Drosophila melanogaster: one gene and its partners. The protein of the gene in region 2 purifies or fractionates together with the protein of the main gene of each other region. This does not show direct contact. Each region holds a gene or a part of one and is shown on either strand. Other genes may lie near its edges.

Region 1 (6,045 bases), on a different chromosome or scaffold from region 2:
CACCTCCGTCCACCTTGGCTCATCTATGGATGAGTCGGTCAGGACGGTGGTGATGCGCCGCAGGAGGAGCAAGACCTCGTTGGAGGGCAGAAGCAAGACCTCGCTGGAGGGTAGGAGCAGCATGGCCAGCCTGAACAGTGCCTTCAATTTGGACACCGCCTACGAGCACAATCTGGACCGCGTACATAATGTCTATCGAGAGAGCTTGGACTCGCGAACCCTGGATCTGCTGAATCAGCGCACGCGGAACTCCTTCATCCATGATCAGGCGGTGCTCTTCGATGCCCTCAATCTGGAGGACGGCTCGGTGGACCTGCGGTGCCTCTTCCGTATGACGGGCGTTTGGAGGAGCAGAAGCATGCGGCAGCAGCAGCAGCAGCGGGAACGGGATGCAGTGGACGGGCGGGGGAAGCCAGGAAAACAGGTGAGTTGAGCTCAGCTCTTGTTAATTTATACGCAAGATTTGATCTTATTGAAAGATTTTAAAAAAGATGATCATATTCAAATATTATAAGTTCTTCAGTTGCAAAGTTAAGGGTGACTAACCTTTTTTTTTTATTTATTTATACACCATATGCATTTACGTAATGTGTGTAGTTTTGACTGTACCGTTTAATCTTTGACTCATTGCCATAAAGACTTCTGCGTATAGCTGACCGATAAATATAGGGCTTTATTCCGATTTATCAATGCTTCGTTGAACGCTTTCGATTTGCACCGGAAGTTGCAGTTTCATGGTTCCAGAGGAGGTTCGTCTTGAAGCGTCATCGATTTGGTTGAACAACTCATGAACTCTGTTCTCAGCAAAGAAATGAGTGATATATACCAAATTCTGCGAATCGTCTGACATTTTTCCTGTGTGCATCAGTTCCTAAACAATTAGTTTAGTTTTCCATCAAGTTCTTTAAAAGAATATTAGGTTCTTGGAGAGCAATAGGTTCTCTAGTACTAGTACTAAAAACAAATGAAATATCTCACCAATTACAATATATCAGTATCAGATCGCTTGGAATATGAAATTTCGATTGGGTGTTAGTTTAAAGTCGAAAAGTTTAGTCAACAAATCTAAGTTGTCGTTTTTTGACAAAAATTAGCAAAATGCTTACGTATGATGTATGATATATATAAATAATCTTTCATTAATTGCAATGATATCAGAAAAAAAGAAACTGAGCAACACGATCAATGGGTTCTGATGGTAATTAGTTGATTTAGGTTACAATTGATACTTACTAGTAAGTGGCATTCCATTGCATCCCCTTAATTAGTTCCCAAATGCACAAAAACTTTTATCCGTGGCGTGGTCTTAACTATTTGTATTTGCCAATTTAAGGATGTTAAACGTGAATGAAAATTGTAAACAGTTAGTGTATAGTACAGCGACAATTGACCCTTACGAACGTATAGTTGATAATTGATTGCGGATAATAACTAATTTGCACTTAAATCGATCTATGTATAAAGACAAATGTGGATGGTGTTTATTCGGCGGCTGCGATTGGTATCCCCACTATTCAGTTTCTACTGCGTGTAGTCGGTGTCGCCCTTCGAATAGTGTATGCAAGCCAACACGGTGTCCAGCAGGTACAGTGCGCCCTCGATAACGCACAGCGAGCCCATGGCAATGCCCACTTGACGCTCCGAGTTCACATACAGGAATCCCTCGTCGGACATGTAACCCTTCCAGTAGTGGAGTGCCACTCCGCCCACGGCGATCCACATGATGCAGCCAACCACGTTCATGATGGTGTCGCACAGCTCTCTGAAAAACGGAAAGCCATTGAAAACAAACAGTTGTGAGTTGAGAGTGTGGAATTAAGGGCGGAAAATACAAGAAAAGGAATAAGATGCGGGTCAAAGTTCAGCTATAATCAATATCGGCATTCAACATACCCCTTATGTTTGGTTGTGCCGAAGGCAAAGGCAATGGTGTGGCATCCAGTGTAAATCAAGAATCCAACCATGACGCCTGAGGCTACGATTTCCGCATCGGCGCTCTTCTCCTCGTTTAAGTTCCACGTGCCGCCGATGCCCAGGAATTCGCCACCATCGCCCCAACGGTACAAGAAGATGATCACCAGATTGATGATCTGCGAAAAAGGAGCGCACAGGAGAGCAATTAAATGAGGTCACAATTGGGAATGGGAATGAATGAATCACTTCTTGGCCACGCCTCGCCTTGCCGTACAACTCGGCGTATGAGTAACATTGCTAATACGCCAGGACTGATAAAACGCGCGCTTATCTATCAGCCGAGTTATTGCGACCACAAACAGGCTATTGCTCAATAGGAAGGGACCAAAGAAGCCCAAAACTTACCAGCTTCAGGGCCTTGATGAAAATAGAGCCTACAGTCTCCACGGACACCATTTCGCACTAGATATGCTGATTGCTCTTATCGCTGAGCTGGAATTTGGGCAAATGCTTTAGTTCACAGAGGGGTTTCTCCCAGTCAAGGGGCACTCACAATCTTTTCTGTAATTTTCACGCGGAAACTACAGCGAAATGATTCGTTTTCGTATCGTTGTCGTTCGTCGACTAAACTGAAAAATATCACTGAAAGGCAACCAACCAACCTGTCGCGCCCAGTTCGTCGTGTCGCCAAGAATTTGTAGCTTTTGCAATCAGAGCATACACGGTCAGCGATAAGATAAGATAGGGCTCACGATAACAGGTGCCGTTCGAAATGGGTTACTAATTCGTTGACGGTTCAACATGTTCAGGCTCCGAAGCCCAATGAAACCCAGATGCGCATGCGCCAGCCCCACCCGCGTATCTTATCAAAACGGCCTTATCGCAGCTCTGTCGCCTTACATCGCGATATATCAGGTGCTCCGATTTGCCGCTTTCCACAGCATTGTTACACATTATTCATGGCGGCCACAAAGCCACAAAACGGGGAAACATACCCGCGGCTCTGAGAGACCGGAAACAATTATTCTTGCGTCATCGATGTATTTCTGAAATACTTTCGTGGTGACCCATTCCCATTCCCACTGATAAAGCTCCCGGTGGTGCATCCCTCGAACAGATTAAAAATTCACTGACCTTGTCACGATTCCGATGATCGATAGCCCAGTGGATTCCAGCTACTGATTAAAAAGTCTCAGACACACAAAAAGTCACTGGAACCTAATCTGCATTTCAATTATCACAACCCTAGCACAATAATCGTGGCTGTAGGTGGCCCATGTTCGAGATTTCGAATCAATTGGAAGAGCACAATGCAAAATGATAGGAGCAATTGGGGAGCAAAAAAGCAACTTGCGGTTGATGTGGGGTTCCTCGATTTACATATTGCCTATTTATCACAGTAAAATGGTGTATAAAAATACAACTCTTGGATGAATGGTGCGTTTTAAGAACACTGTGTAACATGAAAAGCAAACAATTTTCAGGTCACGAAGAAAAGAAAGAACTTAGTTAGAAATAGTTACAGTCCCTTGTTTCTAAATTCAATGTTTAAAAACTAATTGAAAATGGATGCATATGGTTTTTGGACAAATGAATAATTGCATAAGTTTGGAGGGCGTGGGAAATTAACTATACTGCACATTTGGCACCTCGTGCCCTGTGTTTTGTATTTAAGGCCGACATTAAAATGTGCTTGTATAAATCATAAGTTCAGAACATGGAACAAACATGAGATCACACCTCATCAAGGGTTTTTTTTATGACCCGCATTGAGTAGCAAGTATACACACTGATATTCATGAGTACTATATATAAACAAGTATTATTTACGCTGTGCCGAGGGTATTATTGGATTTCATTTCAGAAAATTTAATTTTAGCATACAACTAACTTTCCAACCTAAGCTTTTCAAAATAAATATGTTGTTTTAGCGGAAATTGTCTCTTTTGTATACAAGTTTTTAAAATGTGATTAAACGTGCTTGAATGCCTTAAGAATAGTATTTGCTTAGGGAAAACAAGTAATTGAATAAGATTTATTTAATTAAAGGTAATAAAATTAAATTTGAGCAAGGTACATGGATACTGATTTATTTACATAGATCTGCTTTCCATTTTAAATGCAAGTTGTCTGATGCCTGGATAAGCAAAGGAATATCTTCCCAAATCAAGGCCAAAGGTTGTCGAGTTCTTTGTTTTCGTTCCCCCATTGCGAATGCCGCTCAGCACCGCGGATTCTTCCCCACTTCTCAAATCCCCATGTGGAGTCCCAGAAAGCAAGCGACGTTAAATTTGGAATTTGTCTCCTCTGCATTTGGTTTGTTGCGATGAATCATCAAGCATTCAGAGAGGTGGGGAAAAATCGGCGTCAGAACAACAAAAACCGGCATGCAACTTACACCAACACAAGTGCAGTTCTCGTGTGGTGGCCTCTCTTAATTAAGTAAGAAGAGAATAAAGAGCGAATCGCCTCGTAGCTATCAGCTTTCGTGTGCCTTCAAGCGTCACGATATTAAAGTGATTGAGATGTATTCAATGGATAGCACACATAAATAAACGATGTATGTATGCTTCAGTACTTGTAGAGCGAACCGAAACGAAATCAATATGTATAGATTGGACATATATATTATATATATAATTATAATATATATATATAATTCGCATTTCGGCTGTGAAAAAGTCGACTGGTCAGAACTTAAACTTAAGCGCACTTGCAGCATGGTTCTGTAGCAGCCAGACTCCTACAGCGACGCTTTACAGGCATTACATTACAGCACTGTAAAGTCTATGTCAAGCGAGAATATTCCTCAGATACAGATACAGAGACAGCAGTAAGTAACTTATGACCACTTGCACACCTTTTGGGGAAACTTACCTGCCTTACTTGGACTGGCGTCAATGAGGTGTGACGGCGATTTGGTAATGAGATTTCAGTTCAATCTTAGTGGGCGTATTTAAATTAATTCGCTAGACAGTCGAAAAGTGAGTCAGAGAATTACGAAGAGCACTGCTTTGGAGAGCTTTCGGTTTTGTTTTGATTATCAGTTTGATTCGATTTCGCCGGTTGCGTTGTTGCTATTTATGAATGAAAGTTGCGTTTGTTTACTTTTGCGCACAAAGCTCGAGAAAGAGAGAGAGAGGTAAAAGTGAGAGTAAGAGAGATTTATATCAAAATTTAAAAGTTTTCGCCACTCTAAATATTGCGGTAAACTTATATTGTACATATGCTTCAGAGCTGAAAACTTTAAGCGATTTATGAGTTATTTAGCACTTGACTTTCAATTAATCTAAACGTTCTGCGTTGAACAAACATCCTTTTCAACCCCTAAATATTTGCAAATTGAAGAAAATGTATTTGACCGGCGTTTTATGACATTTGCCAAACGCTTGTATTCATATTCATAGAATACTAAACGCACCAACTCACAGACGAGGCAAAAATATTAACTTGGCAGTGTTTATAAAAAGTGCAATATAACCTATGAACTTGCAGTAAATGTAGTTTTCTTTTCAAGTTAATTAAAATATCTGGTGTTTGCACTGATTTGCGAACTCTATTAGTTGTAATTTGATCTGTAACTTTCCAGTACCGTGCAAATTATATGTAATATTAAAGGATATTTACAAAATTAGATTTTTCAAAATCCGATTTCCTTTGATTTTCTATTTGTATGCTATTTGAAGTTTCCAGCTCTACTTTTCGAAACACCACTGTGGCAATACAGTCATAGACCTTTTTGTGGGCCTAGGCATATGACAGGGCCGCCTTGTTTAACCAGGCCGAACCAGGACTGCCGAAGTGCAGCTTCGTGTCGTTATCCTTATCAGGCGAGTGCTGTGCCAGTGGTTCTCCGCTGCTTTCGGGGTCCTTTAAACGAGCTGATGGCTGTGTCGTCGCCTCAGTTCGTCGGCAGCCGTCCCACAGTGCGGATGACCCAAAATCGGACCGCGGAGCGCCGACCTTTGACACCAGCTTTTGCTTTTGCTCGCGTCCGCGATTTTTGCCGCGCTGTCAACGCGGTTTTCAAACGCTTTCGATCCGTTCTGTGTTTGTGCTGCAATTTCGGGGCGAATGATAAAAAGAAAAAAATATACAGAGTAAACAAGAATTCAAGAGCTCCATGACAGA
Region 2 (6,262 bases):
AAAACCTCTGCACTAATGGTGATTGCCTAAATGAAAGTGGAGCTATAATGTGCTTAGGATGGCAAAATGATATGTTTTGTTATCATCTAACTCTTAAGAATGCTAAAATAAGCCACGGTTTTGGGACCAGGGCTGCACACCCAGCGAACGCGACCGATAACCAACTCGACCTAACCTCAAAAATACAGCCCAACAATATTCGGTTAAATTCCAGATCCGAAATCACCCACACCAAGTGGGCCTAGGACTTGACCTGCCCACACCCCAAGCCCGCCATGAACAGCTTAGTGCGACGCAGCGCCCAGCAGCTGAGCCTCTGGCGTACATATTGCATAAAGCACAATGCTTCAGAGGCGGCTTCTCCCGGACGGAACGCAGGTGAGCCGATTCTGGCCGAGATCTGTTCTGTTTAATATTACTACCACTGTCCATGTTCGCCAACAGGCAGGCCCAACTACGAGGAGTTCATTGGCCGTCATCAGCGACAGGCCCAGTGCAGCATTGTGGTCCAGGTGAGCTCCGAAAAGTCGTATGAGGAGTTGTATAACTACTGCAGCAGCTTCGGCTCGATCATGGGTGCCCACCACTACTGCGTGCGGCAGGACGAGACCCTGCACTACATCCTGCTGGAGTACGCCACGTCGGACGAGGCGGCGGCTGCCATCGGAGCGGGCGTTACCAATGGCGAGCTGAGCGGCGTGCCCGTGCGATCTCCCTTTCTGTGGTTCCGGGCAGCGGGAGGAGGCAGACGGAGCCCCAAGCTAGTTGCCAATACAGCGCCCGCACTGCTATCCTTGGACGGCACCCGGCAGGTGGATCAGCGCCACCTACTGGGGCTCTTACGTGGTGCAGCGGACATCGAAGAGCAGGTGCAGCAGCTGTACGAGCACACGCGCCTGAATGAGCTGGGAATCCGTATGCGCTTTCTAGCCGCCCTACAGGTGCAGCAGGCCATTGCCGGCATGTTTCCCGCCGCCCAGGCACAGCCCTTTGGCTCGTCGGTCAACGGATTTGGGCGAATGGGCTGCGACCTGGACCTCATCCTGCGCTTTGACAGCGATATGGGAGCTAAGATCCCACTGGAGGCGGCGGTGCCCTCGCGACTCGTGTACCACACCAAGGAGAACCTGAGCAACGGACGCTCGCAGACGCAAAGGCACATGGAATGTTTTGGAGATATGCTGCATCTGTTCCTGCCCGGCGTGTGCCATGTGAGACGTATTTTGCAGGCGAGGGTGCCCATCATCAAGTACCACCATGAGCATCTGGACCTGGAGGTGGACCTCTCCATGAGTAACCTGTAAGTGCTATGTGCTAAGTGCTGTGTGCCTGCTTATACCACCATTCGTCTGTCTGTTGGCAAGCAATCTGTGATTCCCGTCCGCTGAGACACCTTTCCTTGTGAGGGTCGCAATCTTTATTGTACTTATTGTTCGAACTGGGTATGAATTCTTAGATCTATCGAAGGGTCACTTGTCGCTACTAACTAAATTAACGAGGCTGGTCTTCAGCGGCGGTAGTTGCTGGCCTGTTCCTCCTCCTTTTTGACCGCCTGCACAAGCACAAAGCTCATCACCGCGCAGATGACGTTGAGCAGGCCGAGCGTCATGGCCAGAGCCACAATCCAGCCGGTTTTGCCCTCGAAGAACCAGGTCAGCTCGTCCACGCATCCGTTGAAGAAGGCGTTGCCGCTGACGGTGTCGCGGCAGGAGCTTGGCAGTGGCTGGCGCAGGTCGAGATAATCCCATGGCCCGGTGGCCCCGCAACAACCTATGTTCTCCTGAATCATGGTCAGCACGTAGTTCGAGTACGTATACTCCGATGTGGCCACAAAGCCGCGCAGCGATACATTCAGCAGCGGCTGCAGGCTCGAGTTGATAGTGCTGAACTGCAATAGGACCGCCGACCCGGCCACAATGGCGATGAACCCAAAGACCTGGGTGCCCACGAACACAAACAGAGCCAGGGTGTTCTCCATGAGCGCGCTCAGGCAGCCGAGGAAGCTGACGGCCATCATTACAATGCTGATGCCGATGAGCACGTACACGCCGATGTAGAAGGACTGTGCCTCCAGGATGCGCAGCCAGTCGTTGAAGCCGGGCTCAGCCCTCAACCAGACGGTTAGGGCGAACAGCGCTGTGGATATCATCCAGGCCACGATGTTGAAGCAAAATAGCGTGTATTTCACGCAGCCAATTTGCTTCTCCAGCTGCTCGTCGGAGGCTCCATAGCCGATGCCCATCGTTTCGGAAGCTGCAAGGCAAGAGAAGGATCATTAGGTGGATGATGACAAGTGCGTGATCTGAAAACCCAGGACAAAGGAGGCGCTACTTGATAGAAGCACTATTTAGACGGTGCATTGATCCTTGCTCATTTTCGAGGAGCTCCATTGAGTCACATACCAAAAGCTCGCCCTGGTCGCGCCTATTAATCACGATGTTGCTTGGCATTTATGGTTGATTCTCCCCGCCCTTTCCCGCCGTTCACTGTATCATCGTTGGCCTTATCGGAGCTGTGTTTAGCAAATAGCGTTATCAGCCACGCACTAGATGATTAATACGAGCAATTGCAACACCAAACTATTCAAGAGTATTGAAATGGGCCAGGTACTGGAGCTGCGGGCGTATCCCTGTGCACCTGAGTAACATCCTCCAAGCATCACTTAAAATCAACTTTTGTAAGACGTTTTGTGTAGATACGTTTATCCATTGGGAAACTGTCTTTTGGGTGTGGTACCCATACCGAAATTCAACACTTCTTCAATAGCACTTAAAAAAAATGGACCATCCATTTATCATTTCGTAGAAATGGGAATTTGTAGGCACTTTTTACTAGGATTCACCTTGCTTGGGTCGATTCTCGTGGGGTCGGAAGAAAAAAATAGCTAGCTCAGTGGCGGACTAGAAACAGATGTCCGTTGGGCTCGTTCGTTGAAATCGTTTTGACCAGACTTGCGGCTCGGCTGAGATACGCGGCGGTGACAACATCCAGGCTAGTGGGGCCGTACAGTCAGGCAGGGGAGGGAGAGCGGCCTTAGATAAGAAAGCTTCATCAGCTCGATAAGATAAGATAGCGGCAGGTGGCGATTGCCAAATGTCGTGTATATGTGTAAATGGTACGCTGCTCTCCCGCAGGTGAGCAGGTGAATCAGTTCTCTCCGCGGCACTGACTTCCCTGGCGTGCCGATGGCCATGATTCACATCCCATTCATCCGCCCCTGATAAGTACCCGCTGCACGCATATCCGGCCATTGGTGGGGGTCAGCGGGCTACACACCGCTGGTTGTCTCATTAAACGAGGCCACGCCCGTTTTTACCTTCCCGCCTTTGGGGCGATCAGTATTGCATGTTGGCATTAAATATGTTTTAAGAAGATGGTTTTAAACGCAATCCCTCTTCCAGCACTGGCTTTTATATGTCGGAACTGCTTTACATGTTCGGTGAAATGGATCCGCGCGTACGGCCGTTGACCTTTACCATTCGGCGCTGGGCGCAGACCTGCGGCCTCACGAATCCCTCGCCTGGTCGCTGGATCAGCAACTTCTCGCTCACCTGCCTGGTCATGTTCTTCCTGCAGCAGCTGCGCCAGCCCATCCTTCCCACAATTGGAGCGCTGGCCAAGGCGGCGGAGCCAGGGGACTCGCGGGTCACCGAGGACGGGATCAACTGCACCTTCACCCGGAATGTGGATCGTCTGGGCTTCAGGAGTCGAAACCAAAGCTCGCTGAGCGAGTTGTTGCTGCAGTTCTTCGAGTTCTACTCGCAGTTCGACTTCCACAACCGTGCGATATCTTTGAACGAGGGAAAGCCGCTGTCCAAGCCGGATCACTCGGCCATGTACATCGTAAACCCACTGGAGCAGTTGCTAAATGTGAGCAAAAATGTTAGCCTGGAGGAGTGTGAACGACTGCGCATCGAGGTGCGGAACGCGGCTTGGGTTCTGGAGTCGGAGGTGGAGAATGCCTCCGTTCCGGAGGGCGACGGCCAGGAGCTCTCCTGCGGCCTGTTGAACCTGTTTAAGCATCCCGAAAAGGCCGTCATCCGGCCGAACATGTTCTTCAAGCCGCGCATGGTCGAAGTGAGCGATCTCTTCGAACAGAAGGAGGCGGGAGCAACGTCCAGCTCAACTCCTCCCACACCAGCCATAACCTACAAGAGTGCCTCTGTGCGGCAGCAGGTGCAGAGCATCAAGGCTGCTACGCGCTCCGAACTAAAGCAGCTGCGCGGATCAGGCAGCTCAGTTCCGACGAGCAGTCCCAATAATCGACGGCGAAGCAGGTGATGTTTCCGAGACTGACACCGCCCATGTACATACATACTTAGGATAAGCCACAACTTCACATTCATGGTGAGTCCAGCTTAAGGTTAGGGCAGCCGCCGTTGGCTGAATTGAATGTTGTTCATACTTTAAAACCTCCTGCTAGTTAGGATAAGTCCATGATCGATCCGACTTTGAGTATTGAAACCGATTGTTGTTGACGAATGCGACCAAGTGTGGCAGGGCAGGGAAAGATCGGTGGGGCACGTCAAAAAGAGCCGAAGGAAGCAGTCATTATTTGACTTTGTGGATGAGTAGTTATCCGTAAGACATACTTTCCTAGTTCGAGTAGTTATAATTCTGTTTTTTATGATAATAAAACGAAAATACCGTACTGGCATATAGTTTCTCAATTGGAAAACACCACACAAACTTCCAAACAAGCTCGCTATTCCCCAAGTTGTGCTAAACTAAAGAACAGAAGGCAGGATTTTCGCATTTGTTGAAGATTTTATTGCGTTCTTTCAATGTTACTCGGGATCCACCACATCTTTATCCTTATCGCTACGTGTTACGTGTTTCTGGAGAGCACAGAGAGGTTACTTAAGACCAGATGGCGAGTTTTCTTAGCCGCGAGGACCACCGCCATCCACCCATTGAAGGTTTGTATACAAGTATGCATATGAGGCTGCATTTTTGTGTGTCTGTTCTCAGCTCTTGGTTCCAATTGCGTTTATTTTGATATACATGATCGAGTTTATCGTTCGACTTGCGCGATCATCGCTTTGATTGATCTTTTTACAAAATTTGATACTATGTTTATAGCTTTGTAAATGGGCGTCGATGAGCGTGTGCTGCGCTGCTGCTTCATGTTGTTGTCTATTCCCTAGATTGGTTTTTGTAGATTGTTTAATGTACATAACTAATTGCTTGCTTACGACTTTAATGCTTAATTTTATGCATGTAAATCACGTATTGCATACAAAATTGCCTCCTGTAAAATTAACCAAATTTCGGGTCCGTTGTGTGCTGCTCGTGCTGCTCCTGCATATGTAGCAGATGTTGCTCGTACTGCTGCTGCTACATAATAAAATAATTTACAAATGAAAGAGAGACAAGGGACGGTGTGAGTTGGGGAGAAAATAAACTGATGCTACGATGCTTCCTAGTTAAATAGGTACAAAAAAGAGGGCGCCGATACAAGCTGCCAGCTGGCCAGGACCCAGGACGAGGGGAGCGCCCTGGTCCTCCGCAGAGCGCAGATCTCGACATCTTCGGCGGCTACTTAGACAACAATTTCAACGGCAGCCGCCGGGTCCACTCATCTAAACCAGAGCTTCAGCCGCAGCGCGTCCACCCCGTTAAGATAGTAGCGGAACAGCCGCTTATCTCGCACGAAGCCCAAGTTCTCGTAGAGCCGCAAAGCCGGCTGGTTACGCATCTCCGTCTCAAGCACCACCTCGTCGGCATTGTCGGCCAGCATTGCCTGCAAATGGGAAAATTGCAGTGTGATATAAGTTTTCACAGAAAGAGAGGTAGTTGGTATGTATCCCTCGCCAATGTGCCCGAAAGTATACCTCGAGGCTCGAGGAGCCATTGGTGAGCTTTGATGGCAATTTCATCCATAGTTAACAACACATAATTGTTCCGTAACACACATATCGAGCATCGATTACATGCAACCCGATTTATAACTTATTGCAAGGGAAAGATGCCCCAGACATCCTACCTCTATGGCCTTGGTGACCAGCGTGGTGCCGATTTTGAGCTTGCGATACTCCTTGCGCACGGCCAGCATGGCGATGTAGCCGCGCCGCACGTTCATGTGCATATCCAGCTTGCACACGATGGCGCCCACGTACTGATTGTCGTGCGAGGCGAGGAAGCAGAGTTTTGGCCAATTGTAGATGAAGTAGCGATACGTGTATATCGAGTACGGCTCGGACAGCTCCGCCTGGATCAGTCGCATGATGTCCTGCGTGTTCGATATGCGGGGAATTAGATA
Region 3 (7,009 bases), on a different chromosome or scaffold from region 2:
CGTTGCAAGGCATAAAGTGAAAGAAAACTTTTTCCTGGCCTCTTTTGCATTTTCCGGCTGCAACTTTGCCACCCACATCCTTGCAGCTCCCGTTCCGGGTGCTTGGCCATTAAAGGTCACAGTTAATATTCATTTCTGCGCTGCAAACTTTGCTGTCTTCCTTCTTCTCTGCTACTCTTGGCCCCTTTTTCCTAATTTCGCCTCACCGCTGGCCTTTTAAAGCAATTTAAGCTGATTAAGTGCAAAGCTGACGTTCCCAATGGACACTGCAAACGTGTGCCCATGAAAGAACCCAGGATCCGCTTAAGGATATTGCTCCTGACGCTGGCCAGAAACTTAAATTGCTGGCGAAGTTTTCGTGGTGAAGTCCCGGGAAAGATTTCAAAATATTCCTGACATCCCTGGAGAGTTGTGGTTGCACCAAAAGCGGTTGACATTCATTGCATTTTGCAGGAATACTTTAATATTTTTAAGCTTTGTCTTGTACTTCTATAGTTCAATTAGCTAACTAATAAATACTTTAATTGTCTTTTGTTTTACAGAAACAATATTAGTGGGCAGTGCAGGTATCACAGTCTACTTTGCAGCATCTTTAACTTTTCATTTCGTGCCTATCCCAGCTGAATTCCCTGAATTCTATTTCACAAATTCAATTTTAATATTTAAGTTAGTTGTTATTTCAATGGAACCCGCTCCTTACATACAATTTAAGCTTCATTTATAATTCCATTAATTAATGAACCCCATTACGATCCTGACACCTCATTTCGCCTTTTGCACAGATATTTTCCCATTCCATCTGAGTTTGATTGCGTATTTCTCTTTGAATATATGGAAATTGCAGTAGTATGCTTAATGTATAACACCGTTTTTATTTCCCTCATTTCCTTCTATTATTTTGTCGGCTGTGAATTGCAGAGTGTCGGGTGAATCATTAATTGCATTGATTTTGATTTTAACGAGCCAGGTAATGAAACGTCAACAGTGTGAAGTGGCCATAAACCCCAGCGGATTGCTTGTAGAAACCCTGAACATCTGTCGCGTTTAATGTTTTTAAGCTATTTATGATTCGATACCCTCGCTAATCCTTTTTGGTGGTCCTTATAAAAGTGTGCGGATTAGCCGTCAGTCTTTTGCCAAAAATTGGTGCGCGGAAAACACGCAAAACTCGCGTGTTCGGGTTGCAATTACCGGGAAATCGCTCCTTTGAGAAATCTTCCTTTTTTACTTTCATAGCTTAGGTAGTGATCTCAGGTAGTTTCCCGGAATTAAGTTAGGCTGGGTATCGCCTATCGGGATCGGCTACCTGAACTTTTGGCACCAGCTGCCGGGGGTGAAAACTGGACCAGGTAGTCTTTAGAAGTGCACCTATATAAGGTCTGCGTTCCTGGTCTCAACAGCACATTCGTACTTCAACCGTCAACATGAGCATCAGCACTTTCAACTTCCAGTTCTACAACTACAAGCTTAGCCCGTCCTCACCGGGATTCGGCAGCACAGCCTCCCGTTCCTCGTCCTCATGCATCAGCGAACTGGAAATGGACATTGATGAGGACATGTCCGCCCAGCCCACCATCACCTCCACGCCCAAGCCGCGCTTTACCAGCCAACTGGCCGTGGAACTGGCCAAAACGGAGCCGGGTAATGGCATATCCCCACTGCGACCCAAATTGCATACGGCCCAGAAACGCTGGTCCATGGAGTTGAGGGAAAAAGTGCTGGAAATGTCCAAGCGAAATAATGGCCAGGAGAAACCACAAACCGCACGACAGCAGGAACAGCGACAGCCACAGGAACAGCCACTGCAACAGGAGGAACTGCAGCATCAGCAGCAGGAACCCACTGTCACCGACAAAATCAACTTCTTCAACAAGCTGACCAACACCTTTGAGTCGGGTTTCAGCAAGCTGATGCCCCAAGCAAGCTCCACCAACAACCGCTTCATAGCCATGTTGCGCACCGCCCGTCCTCAAAACGTTGCCACAACCACCGCCAACAGCAGCACCGCCAACAGTTTCCTGGGCAGCGACCACAGTCTCAGTGGTTCCGTGACCGGACAAGTGCCACCACCCAAGCCCAAGAGACTGTCGGCCACCACCGCCCAGTTTGCCACTCCCCATGTACCAGCCATGGGCGTGGGCAAGGGGGGCAGCCAGCGCAAGTGCTCCCTGCGCCGCAAGCCTTCGATGGACAAGTCGAGGGCCACCATCTCCCGCCAGAGTTCCAGTGCCTCAGTACGAACCCAGAACCACGCCATCATGGAGGACCTCAGTCTAGTGGTTCCCGTGAGATTGCGCATCGCGGAGTACGAGCAGCGCATCTCGATGAGTGCTTAGGTCCAGAAACTAGGTTAATTGTAAGTTCCAAAGGATTGCCTTACTTTAGTTATAAGTTAGCCTAAGCTTCTAAAGACAGTTCAAATATAAGATAAAATATAAATATATATATGAAACAAAATGTAAGCGTCTTGTTCTTGGCAAGTGAGGCATTACAAATATTACAATATTTTTAAACCATTACTCCTTTGCAATCGGTGAGTAATTCCACATATATATTTCGATATTCTATTTCTGACCAAACCCTTTTTTATTACACAGTTACATTCTAACAAATGACTGTGACTAATACGGCAAAAATTCCAATTCCGAATAGCCAATATATCAGTTCTAGGGGACTGATAAAACAGAATTGCTAAATCCACACACTACCACAGGTTGTAAACTGAATCACGCAAGACTCCGTGCTCCCGCTGTCCGCCGTGTCCACACCTATATTCGTGTGCATACATATGCGTATATTCACTATGCCACCACGCACCTGTTTTGTTTGCCGAAGCGGAAAACAAGAAACCGTTAGCTTTTTAATGCCTCAACCTGGGGCATTATCTTATCGGGAAGAACACAGAGCGAGAGAGAGAGAGAGAGAGAGAGAGGGGCTTACAGCACCTACACCTGAATGCCCGAACACAGGTTATCGAGCAAATATTGGTAACTAAACCAAACTGAAACCCACTGAGCTGTTCTGATAAGATAGTCAACGCGGCGTATGAGTAATGGGGTGGAACTGAATCAGCCCAGGGACAACGAAACCTACTCACCCCAATTGTAGCCGCTGTTGTCCACGTCGTACAGCTCCCCCAAATAGTCATTTGGCATGATGAGGGCTCCGAACATTTTCTCGGGCTTCAGTCCCGCGACGGTGAGGATATCATCTGTTCCCCGACTGCTGACATGCACCACGGGAATCAGAGTGGGCTTCTGCAGGGCCAGTGGTTTGGTTTTCGGGTTGTCCGCTTCCGCTTTTTTGGGAGCGGGCGTGGCCTTTGGAACCTCAACGAATTCCGCCTGAGCTTTGGGCTTAGTCACCTTGACCGGCTCCGGAACTGCATTGATTATTTGATCCTCGAACTCCTCCGTCGATATATTCTCGTTAGCCAGGACAAAGGCCATAAACCCGCAGGCCAGCGCACAAACCACAAACAGTTTGAAACGCATGTTCACTTGATTTCGATTTGTCACTTAATTGGTAATTCGTTTTTTCGTTTCACTGCTAAAAGAAAAACACAAAGGCATCAATTAGGCATCCACAATAAAAGTATCACTCAATAAGCACTCAATTCATGCGAATTTGTACACTATTTTTCCTCTGATATCCTCATTTTCTAACAATTTTCACTTGATGACATCATCAGTTAAGGCAATGGCTTATCAGTTCTCTTATCACTTGTCACCAATTTTCAATTTTAACTTTAATTACCAGGCAGGAAAACACGTTCGTTGCAGCGAGCCGCTCAGCTAAGACTGAAGTTAAGTTAACTCTAACGGCCCGATCGGGGCGTTGCCAAAACTCAGTTCACCTGTCGCCGTCTACTCGATTGTGAAACATTGCCTTATCGGCCAGATAAAGCTAGGCATATCTTATCAATGGAATACTACGCACCGATAACGCATTCCTTCTTCGGCCCGCTTGGCTTTTTCGGGAAGCTTCACTCTCTTCTCTGTGCTCCAAATTTACCAACCTATTTGTTTATGCCCATTCGTGGGACCGTTACCTATATTTCTCTCTGTTGACAATGGTCTCTGGCAGATTTGTGATTCACTTCCATTACAGTTAATCATACTCATGACGCGGCCATTTTGTGAAAAGCTGAATGGGCTGTAAAGCCTAAACATGTATGTGTGTGATGCGAAATTGATGAGAGCACGCTTCCGGTTTAATTATAGACAATGACCCATTACCGACCATTAATAGGCATTTCCGATGAAGCTTTAGAGTTATGAATATCAGCCGCCCGTAAAAAAGCCTACTGATGGATTTCATTAGGACATGAAAGTGTCATGGTCCTCATTAATGAAGAAATCAAGTGCAGAGTGGGGAACTCCAAATTAATAAAATCAAAGCGTTTTGAGGATCAACTTGTGTGACTAAAAGGGTATTATAAAACAATAATGCAGATAAACATTGCTATAATAAAAATCGAAGGATAAGATATATTTTTATAGTGGTTATTGTTAGGGGAAAATTGGTGTTGAAAATGTACCCCATATATCTTTTAAACAAACGACAGCATAATTATGTATAAAATATATATATAAATATAAAAATGTTTTTAACTATGGTACAGTTCATTTCAATATATTCCTGAGCATATGTATGACTAATTTAATGGATACAACTCTTCCCTCTCTCAAAGGCAATCCATTATTGGCCAACGAACCTGTTGCATTATCAGCTTTAGTTAACTGATAAGAAACTATTTTGAAATTCATTATCATCTCATACATGTGTTTAACAAGCGCTCTGTTAATTAACAGCGATCATATCACACCACCAGCCCAAAAGTAGGCACTACTTTTCGGAGGGATTTGTTCTCTCCCGGTTTATTTCCCAGCTTATCAGCAATTTAGTTTATTTGGAATATGGGGGTCCCGGCTTCAAACAAAAGTGAATTGCCCTTAGTTCTGGGTCGAACGGCGGCGAGAAGAGACCGCGATTTCGCTGCGAACTTATCAGGTGATCCGGCATACACGCCTCGTTTTTAATCCATCAGCATGCTGCGTTATCTGGCGCTTTCGGAGGCGGGAATCGCAAAACTGCCACGCCCACAATCGCGGTGCTATCACAGCGAAAAGGGCGTTTGGGGCTATAAGCCGATTGCCCAGCGTGAATTTCAAGGTACGGTTGTAAACAAGTGTGTTGCCAAGACTTCAATAAAAACCTCATCCGTCGAGATAACCATCGCATCGATAAGAGTCTTTCGGGATCAAACATTCATATGAATGGGCAGTGGAAATCTACCCAAGCAAAAAGAAAAACCGACGAAGTGACATTGTGTGCGTGTGTGTGCGTTCGTGTCGGATTTTCCAGCCGGCTATTTATCAGCGGAATTCAAGCAGCTGACCCACAACAATCCCCGCAGAAACTGCAATAAAACAACAGCCTGAACAAGAGATCAAGTGCAAATTGCTGTGGGTGAATTCGAAAACCAGTTTAAAGAAGATATATCATTTGTATACCCTGTAATCGGAGGGTATATACGGGAATACGTATGGATACCTAGGATTATTTTCACTAACTTCAGGTTTAACTTAATTTCGCAAAATATTTTTTAAATTGAAGTTCATTGTTTATGCCTCTCATACTATCGAGAAAGAACAGCTCCTGTTGACTGGTGGAATATTTTTTATGGTTTTAATGTTACCGTCTTTCCTGTTACCTACCCAAGCTAATCTCCACGTTCTCAGCTTATCACATGTTTTCACTCTGAAATCTGATAAACCCGAAATATATGGCGCTACACCCAGTACCCCGAATTTATAATTAGAATGAGGAGATTGTGGCAGACCCCCCGTGCAGTGCACTAATTAAGTGAAGAGAGGCGGATGTCCAGTGCAGAGATACTATATCTTTTCCCAAAACGCACGGCAGGGAGTCCAAAAAGGACCCGGCTAAATATCAAAGCCCGGCAAACAAAGGACCCCAAAACGGGAGCTTCTTTGTGCTTGTCCTGCATCCGTTGCGTACACAATTGGGGCTTATCGACACCATGGCCAACAGACACCAGTCACCAGTTGGTAGTTGGTAGTTGGATAGTCTGCCAGGAGCCTTTGACTGGGCACCAGAGGAAAGCCTTCAACGCTTGACCATGTGACATCAGGCGCCTAGGATGATGCACATAGAGAAAATCAAGTCTAGGATTTACTCAGGCTTTGGAAAAGTATGTTAGATATTCTAAAGCAAACCCAATTGACCAGTATTTTGAATTATGGTAAAGCGTACTAAAACTGACTTTAAGCGTTAGTTTTGCCTCAGTGTAGTATCGGTATAATTCGCCTTGTTTGCCGTTCGTCCTTTGGCTGCATTTCTGTCAGGGCAATCATTATCCTTGGCAAAGGACGCGCCGCTGTGCTCCAATAATATTTACACGCTCAAGCTGAAATGTTGTCACCGCAAATACAATTCATCATACACCCTGTGCTCCTGTCCAAGCGACCTACTCTTTAACATTAAATTGATTTATGGCCGAAATGCCGTCGAGAAATTGCATAAATTTCTGAGGACGACTTGGGGTCGGTCTAACTGGCAAATGCCAGCTGTCCCACGGATTTCGAATTTTCAGGGTACTGTAATCGAGTGATATGCGTCATCGCATATAAATCCTGTAAGCAGGATAACACTTTAACACGTAAACACCTAAGCAGCCAACGAGTTGTCAATGGCTCAACCAGGGAATAAAATATCCCAACAAAGGCAATAAAAACAACAATCGTAATTTCTCATATGTAGCACGAATTGCTTGCCATCGGGAAGCACAAACGTCGTGGTACACTCTATAGTTTTAAATTCGATGTAAATCTGCTAACTGGAATAACTAACGATATATGTATATGATAAGAATATATGTTCTGCACGCAATCTCAATAAGCCCCATTTAAATCTTTAGCCAACTCCTTTCGACATTTTCCACTCGAATTCATATCGAATGCCAAATATTTGCCGGGTAAATACG

The links. The genes of interacting proteins can lie anywhere in the genome.
Region 1: the proteins of Tsp2A (region 2) and Ssk purify together in Drosophila melanogaster (affinity purification with western blotting, with the first as the bait; one study listed by BioGRID). This does not show direct contact.
Region 3: the proteins of Tsp2A (region 2) and mesh purify together in Drosophila melanogaster (affinity purification with western blotting, with the first as the bait; one study listed by BioGRID). This does not show direct contact.

What each region holds. Positions count from the first base shown.
Region 1 is NT_037436.4:20,185,037-20,191,081, reverse strand, and holds Ssk (snakeskin), read right to left. Parts: upstream 2,561-6,045; 5' UTR 2,371-2,560; coding exon 2,320-2,370; intron 2,091-2,319; coding exon 1,894-2,090; intron 1,763-1,893; coding exon 1,522-1,762; 3' UTR 1,303-1,521; downstream 1-1,302. UniProt on the Drosophila melanogaster protein: Required for assembly of smooth septate junctions (sSJs), together with mesh and Tsp2A. May be important for barrier function of the midgut epithelium.
Region 2 is NC_004354.4:1,343,260-1,349,521, reverse strand, and holds Tsp2A (tetraspanin 2A), read right to left. Parts: upstream 2,970-6,262; 5' UTR 2,843-2,969; intron 2,438-2,842; exon of another isoform or gene 2,403-2,437; intron 2,254-2,402; 5' UTR 2,243-2,253; coding exon 1,508-2,242; 3' UTR 1,379-1,507; downstream 1-1,378. Other genes in the region: MTPAP (mitochondrial poly(A) polymerase), read left to right, coding at 276-378, 445-1,300, 3,402-4,281; Naa30A (N(alpha)-acetyltransferase 30 A), read right to left, coding at 5,579-5,743, 5,987-6,232. UniProt on the Drosophila melanogaster protein: Required for assembly of smooth septate junctions (sSJs), together with Ssk and mesh. Important for barrier function of the midgut epithelium.
Region 3 is NT_033777.3:31,191,961-31,198,969, forward strand, and holds the start of mesh (mesh), read right to left. Parts: upstream 3,803-7,009; 5' UTR 3,757-3,802; intron 3,550-3,756; 5' UTR 3,495-3,549; coding exon 3,098-3,494; intron 2,430-3,097; exon of another isoform or gene 2,337-2,429; coding exon of another isoform or gene 1,425-2,336; exon of another isoform or gene 1,402-1,424; intron 1-1,401. Other genes in the region: bnk (bottleneck), read left to right, coding at 1,425-2,336; CG1544 (uncharacterized protein), read left to right, coding at 5,052-5,175.